Macaca mulatta: one gene and its partner. Each later gene encodes a partner of the first gene's protein in a complex. Links are inferred from orthologs where the notes say so. Each region holds a gene or a part of one and is shown on either strand. Other genes may lie near its edges.

Region 1 (4,351 bases):
TAAAGCTTTTTTTTAAAAAGGAAGAGAAATAATACCAGTAAGCAACGGTGACTACGTACCAGCACATTCTATGTGGCTCACAAAATTAACTGAGCTATCCCTGACAACAATCCTATCTACGAAGGGGGTGCTATTCTTATCCATATTTATTATACTAATCGGGGAACCAAGTCATTTGCCCAGCAGTTTGAAAATGGTGAATCCTAAATTTGAACCCAGGCAGTCTGACTGTAGGACCCATACATTCAACCACTACCTTTTACCTCATCTTCAAATGGTATTTTTCATACTTCAGAGCACTGAGGTGCCTGTGCCCTTGGTCACCGGGAGGCCATACTTGCTGCACCCGTCTGGACCATCAGGGTCTTCCCCAGTCAGAGGCCACTGCCAGGGCCAGAGACAATGGAGAATTATTTAGTTTCCTACAGTTCTAGAAACTGCCTCTGTTTCAAGCCCAGGAAGAAGGCGTTCTGAGGAGGACATTTCTTCTTGGGACAAGGACCCTTGGTGAGATTTGGCCTTTATGCACCTCCATCTGAAAAGCTAAGCTTCTCTCTGGGAATTCGAATTGAAGGTTAGGGATGATTGCTCAGATGGGGAAAGTGTGAAATGGTAATCACTTTCATATGACACTCGAGAAATGTTATAATAAAGCTGAGTAAATTGGAGCATGAGTTAGCCGGTCCTTTGCCTAATGATGTCACCCACTTTGTGCTTCCTCCAGCCTATGATTAATAAAAGAGGGGTTATGACAGTAACTCACTCCTAGTGGGCAGCAGTGACGTCAGCAGCAGCTGAGCAAACTGACTACATTTAGTTGTGCGTGTGTATGTGGGCATTTTTTTTTCCTGTGACTAACATGAAGCTAACAGCATCTAATAAAACAAAAGCTCCTTGAAATTTGGGAAACTTATTGGGTGAACTCTTTTCTACAGGGAGCACCATTTTAATTATTCTCAGCTCATAGTTAAGTGATGTTGGAGTTGGCCAAAATTACCTTGTTGGCTTTCTGCCCCTGTTTCATTAAGGGATCACAAATGAACCCCTGGCCTTTGGGAGAGAGGTTTCTGGAGTGTTTTTTTCCTTCTACTATAGAGGCTCCTCCCTCATTCATTACACTCTTCCATCTTTTAAGAGGAACTCAATGAGTAGAAGAGGGATTGTAGCCATAAGTTATTTTTTGAGAGTTTAAAGCTGGTTGTAGAATTCAGTGATTCCATTTTAAACTCTAAGAATATTGTGCTTAATTACAGTTTGCTTTTCCAATCTGATAAAGTGACAAAAGTCCTACTTACTATTTCACCTTTGCGAACTTGACCTTCCTAAAATTAGAGTGGGCCACCTGGAAATATTTGCTCACCTAGCTGAGCTGCTGCCAGTGTCCACGCGAGCCCGCAGGACTCGTGAACAGCGGCACTCAGACCATGCCTTGGAGCTGCTCCCACAGAGGGCAGAACCTTTGGACTCTATTAGGACACGAGGGAGGCAGCAATTCACTGATTTAAAAAAAAATTCACACAGGACTGCCCCCAGGCTTTTCTGTGGGGCTTTTTTCCCTCCAAGCAGTGATTTGGGAACAGGCTGTGGGGGGATCTTTGTGGACAGGCAAAACTGGATGCAAAGCAAGATTGCTGCCCTCTTATCAGTCCAATGGAATCTACGTGCTAAACCACCATGTCTTCAAGTCAGCAATGGAACTTATTACCCAAGGGGATCCAGGTGAGAAAAATGATTACAACAATCTGTTCCGTGTTCCTTGGGGAGTATTTTTCAACAATCTTCTGGGGCAATAGGAAGATAAATTGTTGAAGCAGATGTTTCCTGATTGGGTTAGAACTGAGTCATGATAAACAATTTTGAAATATATATTGGTCAGGAAGAATGTTGAGGGCATATTTCTTCAGGTTGAGTTAGTCTGGGTTTTCTTCAATATATGTTTTTCTATAGTGGTTGTAAACGAGTATTTCTCTCAATATTGAATTTTTTTACATGTACCACTTGGTTACTTCTTGGGAAGAACTCCAGGCATTTCTGAATCATTTGAAAGTTGATTGAGGCCTTTGGTTCCAAAATGACCATTTACCTGAGGAGATGGTGATTCACAAGTTGGAAGAGATGACACGGCGTCAGAGTGTCTAAGACATTCCCCTCATAGCTCCCTTCATCTTAAAATGATCTCTGACCTACCCTTTCCTTTCTGGAGGACCCAAGTCACTCAGGAGGTAAGTGATGAACCAGGGAAGTAAGCCCTCACTGTCTGGACAACAGGATTTCAGTTCTAAGCTAGTTTCATCCAGGCAACTTCCTTTTTGTGCATTTCACCAATACTTGTTGATTACTCTTACGATTTTCCATGAGGTGGAATCCTTCACAATAGTTTCCCCAGTCCTCACAGGAGAGCAACACCTGGAAGGGCTGGAAGGGCATGGCCTTCCTTCAACAGCCACACCACTTCCTTTTACAAAGGAAGTTTGGAGAATATAATGTTGCTTGCAACAGCCATTAGGATTTAGCAAAACACTGTTTTATCTCTTTGGATATTGATTGTATGTCATTCCCCTAAGGTATTAAACAAATAAAATCAAGCTACAACATATTCGTTTGCTCTAGGAGAAAGGCAGGGTAATCTTACTTTTGTGAATTTTACTTCAGGGAATTCTCTCTTGCATGGATTTATCTGATACTGAATTGCTAAAATGAACAACTCAATCCTTTATTCATTTATTCTTTTGCATGAGTCTCTTGTCTCCTAACAACTTGGGTGTAGGCCAGCCCATCTCATTTTGTTGCTGGCCACCAAGATTCTGCTTTGGTTTAGAACAAAAAGCCAGCAGGAAAATGTATTGAGGCCATACATGAAAGTTGGTTGGAGCAACAATGTTGCCCAAGAGGAGCATTGTAGCTGTAGTCTCCAGTAATCAGAGAACATAAGATGCAAGAGGCAGCAGAATCACTTGAATTATTAGTATTTTGTAGAGTTGCAATGTTTTTCTTGGTTCCCAAGGCCTCTTGGAGATGGATAGGGAGAAGGTTGAGTGAACTTTACAATTATAACATGAAATCAGGGTATCTCAACTGCAGAACAATTAACACTGTAGGCCAGATAATTTCTTGTTGTTGGGGGCTGTCCTGTGCATGGTAGGATATTCAGCAGCATCCCTGGCCCCTACCCACTAATGATCAGTAGAACCTCCCTCCCAGCTGTAACAACCAAAATGTCTTCAAACATGGCCAGATGTCCCCCAGGGAGCAAAATCGCCCCAGTTGAGAACCACTGCTGTAGAATGAAGAGTAATAGGTTACTTGCTGGGTTTTTTTCCTTCTTCTCTTTTCCGCAGTTGTTTTAGTTCTAGTATCTGGGTTCCCTTGCTTCAGAAAACAGCATTTCCAAATACTCTAAAAACAGAGTATCCCACTGTTTTTGTGGAATATCCCACGAAGCAGAAGGCCTTGTGGGATATTCCAGTGGTTCTGAAAGAAATGTGAAGCTTAGGAGTCAAGTTTCAGATTAACCATTTCTGACCCTGTTGTTCTCAATGAATTTCAGGGGACTTTTTAATGTTTCCCTCTCTCTCTCTGTTTAGAGCTATTCATTCATTGACTTAACTTGAAAGCAAAACAGCTTCCCAGTTCAATTTTGAATGTGAAACACTGCTTCTCCTTTGTCCCAACTCTTTCTACCTAACATTCAGCCCAAGTTATGTACAGGCTGTGGCTGTCCAGGAAACAGGCCGTGTTTGCCAATCCCATGTTCAATGTCAACCATTTGATGAGACCCTTCTTCATCACAGACTCTGGCAGTCTCCCTGCAGCAGATAGTACTCTGGATCCTGACCACATTCTCTGGATTCTGAGCTGCCTCTTGAGGGAGTCACCCCTCACCAAGAAGGCCAGGTTTTCCGGCCTGAGCCCCAGAATAACACATTAGCTGCTGGGAACACCTTTTGATTTCTCTCCATAGTCACGTTTTATGTTTGGTTTCCCAGACGGGATGAACCAGAAATCATGCGTTTTTGGAAACAGATTTTTTCATAGGAAGGAACGAAAACACCCGGACTCGTCAGCACTCTTGTCCATGCCTCTGAACCCCCAGCCTTGTGTCATTTCAGTTGAATCAGAGAACAACATCCCAGTCACCTGCTTGGGGTGTTCACGTCTCCTGGCTTATATTTTTGACTGAATAACAGCAATCCGTGAGCAGCAGCTAAAATAATAGAGCCCTGAAAAATGTCCCCACCCACCCCCCCGCTCCGCTTTTCTGGGCCTGTCTCCTTGCTCAAGGAGTAGTGAGGAAAGACACCAATTAATAGCGTGGATGAAAGCTGAAGGACAGACGGTTTGCTTGAGAAGA
Region 2 (2,733 bases), on another chromosome or scaffold:
TCCCTCTCGCCCACCTCCCATCTCTGTGATCAGGGCTTCCCCCACCCCCCCCCCCGCTTCTTTATCCACCCTTCCACCCCTTTCGATTTATTTCCTACTTTTCTCCCGCGTCTCTCTCACTTCCCCTCCTCCACGCTCACCCCCTCCCCATCCCCGCCAGGTCTCCTTCGCTCGCCACCTCGCCACCTCGCTCTCCCTGCCTTGCTACCGCTCACCGCTCACTGCTCACTCACCCACCTCCCCACCCCGTCTCTTCACAGCTGGGAACTGCTGGCTCCGTCAAGCGAAGAACGGCCGCTGCCAGGTCCTGTACAAGACCGAACTGAGCAAGGAGGAGTGCTGCAGCACCGGCCGTCTGAGCACCTCATGGACCGAGGAGGACGTGAATGACAACACACTCTTCAAGTGGATGATTTTCAACGGGGGAGCCCCCAACTGCATCCCCTGTAAAGGTAGGACTCCTTCTTCCCGACTTCCAGGCCCTCAGTAGAGGGCGTCTTACCCTTAGCTTCCCCACTACCTGACTGGGGTTTGGGAGTAGGAGAGCTTTGTTCGTGGGCTTCCCCTTTCTGTCCCTTGCCCTGGTAAGCCGTGCAGACTCGAATTCTGCCTGTTACAGGCTGTAGGTAAAACACCCCAGACTTCTTAGCCAAGTGTGGTGGTGAAGCCCACCAACCTGTGCCCCTTGATGAGAGAAATCTGGGTTTGGGGCACAACCGAAGGTCCGCACTCTTTCATCAACTCCCAATCTTCTAGGAGAGAGCCTGGGGCCCCTCCAGCGCAAACTCAGGGCTGCATGATTGCGCAAGGCACCCGAAGCCCTCCTGGCTGACCTGCAGACTGCCTGGCTCTGGTTTTTAATCCATGCCTGTTTCCAACTCACAGAAACGTGTGAGAACGTGGACTGTGGACCTGGGAAAAAATGCCGAATGAACAAGAAGAACAAACCCCGCTGCGTCTGCGCCCCGGATTGTTCCAACATCACCTGGAAGGGTCCAGTCTGCGGGCTGGACGGGAAAACCTACCGCAATGAATGTGCACTCCTAAAGGCAAGATGTAAAGAGCAGCCAGAACTGGAAGTCCAGTACCAAGGCAGATGTAAAAGTAGGTCCTACCCTGTTGAGCAAGACTGGATCTGTCCCCTCCTCCAGCTTTGTACCTAAAGTAGACCCTCTAGGAGACCTCTGGGGGATGGTGTAGTCCACAGTAAGAGCCTGATAATAATAATACTGAAACCAAAAAGGAGTCCTTTTCTAACTTCTAGAGACTCATTAAGAACACTGAGGGGACCAACCTAGAGTCATAGATTCTCTCTTGGAAACTACAGGGCTCCCAAAATTGCCTTTTGAAAGCTGGATGCTTCAGTGTCATGATTGCCTTGGTAACTTCAAGTGCTCGCTCCCTAAGCACTAGAAGGTACCTATTCATGTGTGTTTCCTTCTTTGTTCCAGAGACTTGTCGGGATGTTTTCTGTCCAGGCAGCTCCACATGTGTGGTGGACCAGACCAATAATGCCTACTGTGTGACCTGTAATCGGATTTGCCCAGAGCCCACTTCCTCTGAGCAATATCTCTGTGGGAATGATGGAGTCACCTACTCCAGTGCCTGCCACCTGAGAAAGGCTACCTGCCTGCTGGGCAGATCTATTGGATTAGCCTATGAGGGAAAGTGTATCAGTAGGTATTCCGGATTGAGGAAGGAAAAAGAGAAAACAGGCTAGTTCTAGTATTAAACTGTGGGGTTAACAAATAAGTAAGCCCAAGGCATCCCAAAACACCATAGGGAGAAATATGCTGCAATTTGGGCTCTGTTATGACCACAGCATTCCTCATGGAAACCGTTGTCTTCTGGAGGCATTGACACATATATTCAAATGCCAGCAGGAAGCAAGAAACAGTATTCCATCTTAGAAAACTTAGAACTCACTCAATTTTACACATTTTTTTAAGTGCCAGACTTGCTGGAAGCGAAAAATAATTACTTAGCAGTTCCAGAAATCTGTTATCAGATTCTAGTAATTAATGGAATTCTTTCATTTGTAAAAGATCCCACTTGTGGGAAATAATAAGATACATATTTAACTCAAGAATATTGTAAAATCCTGTTCTAAAAAAATACTATTTTAATGCACTAATGTAGTATGTAAGAAACTGCAGAGGTTTTGTGTGTGTGTATGTGTGTATGCATTTGAGTTTCAGTTTTATTATCCAGCATTTTTGCTTAATATCTCCATTATCCCCATTAGTAATAAGATATAAATTATGTTTATATTTATTGATAGAGGACTAGAGAAAGGGAGAAAAGGGGGATATGGGGAAATCAGTTTACTCATCACAGATGTATTATATCCTAGAAGCAAAGTCCTGTGAAGATATCCAGTGCACTGGTGGGAAAAAATGTTTATGGGATTTCAAGGTTGGGAGAGGCCGGTGTTCCCTCTGTGATGAGCTGTGCCCTGACAGTAAGTCGGATGAGCCTGTCTGTGCCAGTGACAATGCCACTTATGCCAGTGAGTGTGCCATGAAGGAAGCTGCCTGCTCCTCAGGTGTGCTGCTGGAAGTAAAGCACTCCGGATCTTGCAACTGTAAGTGTGATTTTTAACCTTGCTGCCATTTAAGGCTTTCCCAGGCAATCCCTAGGGAATGGACACTTACAAAGCTCGCAGATCTCCCACATAAATTCATTTCTGTTCAAATTAGGAAGCTGCTAAGTATCACCAGCAATTCAATAATC

The links.
Region 2: the proteins of INHBA (region 1) and FST are in contact, whole or in part, in a crystal structure (PDB 2P6A), measured with the Homo sapiens proteins. The link is inferred for Macaca mulatta from reciprocal best matches to the Homo sapiens genes INHBA and FST. Residues at the interface, in NP_002183.1 of Homo sapiens: Asp315, Phe327, Asp337, Trp338, Ile340, Ala341, Gly344, Tyr345, His346, Gly360, Thr361, Gly363, Phe368, Thr371, Arg397, Ser400, Leu402, Tyr404, Asp405, Asp406, Gly407, Gln408, Asn409, Ile410, Ile411, Lys412; in NP_037541.1 of Homo sapiens: Trp33, Arg35, Val44, Leu45, Arg60, Phe76, Met79, Asp135, Glu152, Pro154, Glu155, Val180, Val181, Asp182, Gln183, Tyr188, Val190, Arg221, Thr224, Cys225, Arg229, Ser230, Ile231, Gly232, Leu233, Glu328.

The regions. Positions count from the first base shown.
Region 1 is NC_133408.1:86,728,314-86,732,664, forward strand, and holds the start of INHBA (inhibin beta A chain), read left to right. Parts: upstream 1-1,495; 5' UTR 1,496-1,719; intron 1,720-2,017; exon of another isoform or gene 2,018-2,025; 5' UTR 2,026-2,222; intron 2,223-4,310; exon of another isoform or gene 4,311-4,351. UniProt on the Homo sapiens protein: Inhibins/activins are involved in regulating a number of diverse functions such as hypothalamic and pituitary hormone secretion, gonadal hormone secretion, germ cell development and maturation, erythroid differentiation, insulin secretion, nerve cell survival, embryonic axial development or bone growth, depending on their subunit composition.
Region 2 is NC_133411.1:61,277,099-61,279,831, forward strand, and holds part of FST (follistatin), read left to right. Parts: intron 1-260; coding exon 261-452; intron 453-885; coding exon 886-1,104; intron 1,105-1,451; coding exon 1,452-1,676; intron 1,677-2,353; coding exon 2,354-2,584; intron 2,585-2,733. UniProt on the Homo sapiens protein: Multifunctional regulatory protein whose primary function is to antagonize members of the transforming growth factor beta (TGF-beta) superfamily including activin, myostatin, GDF11 or bone morphogenetic proteins (BMPs).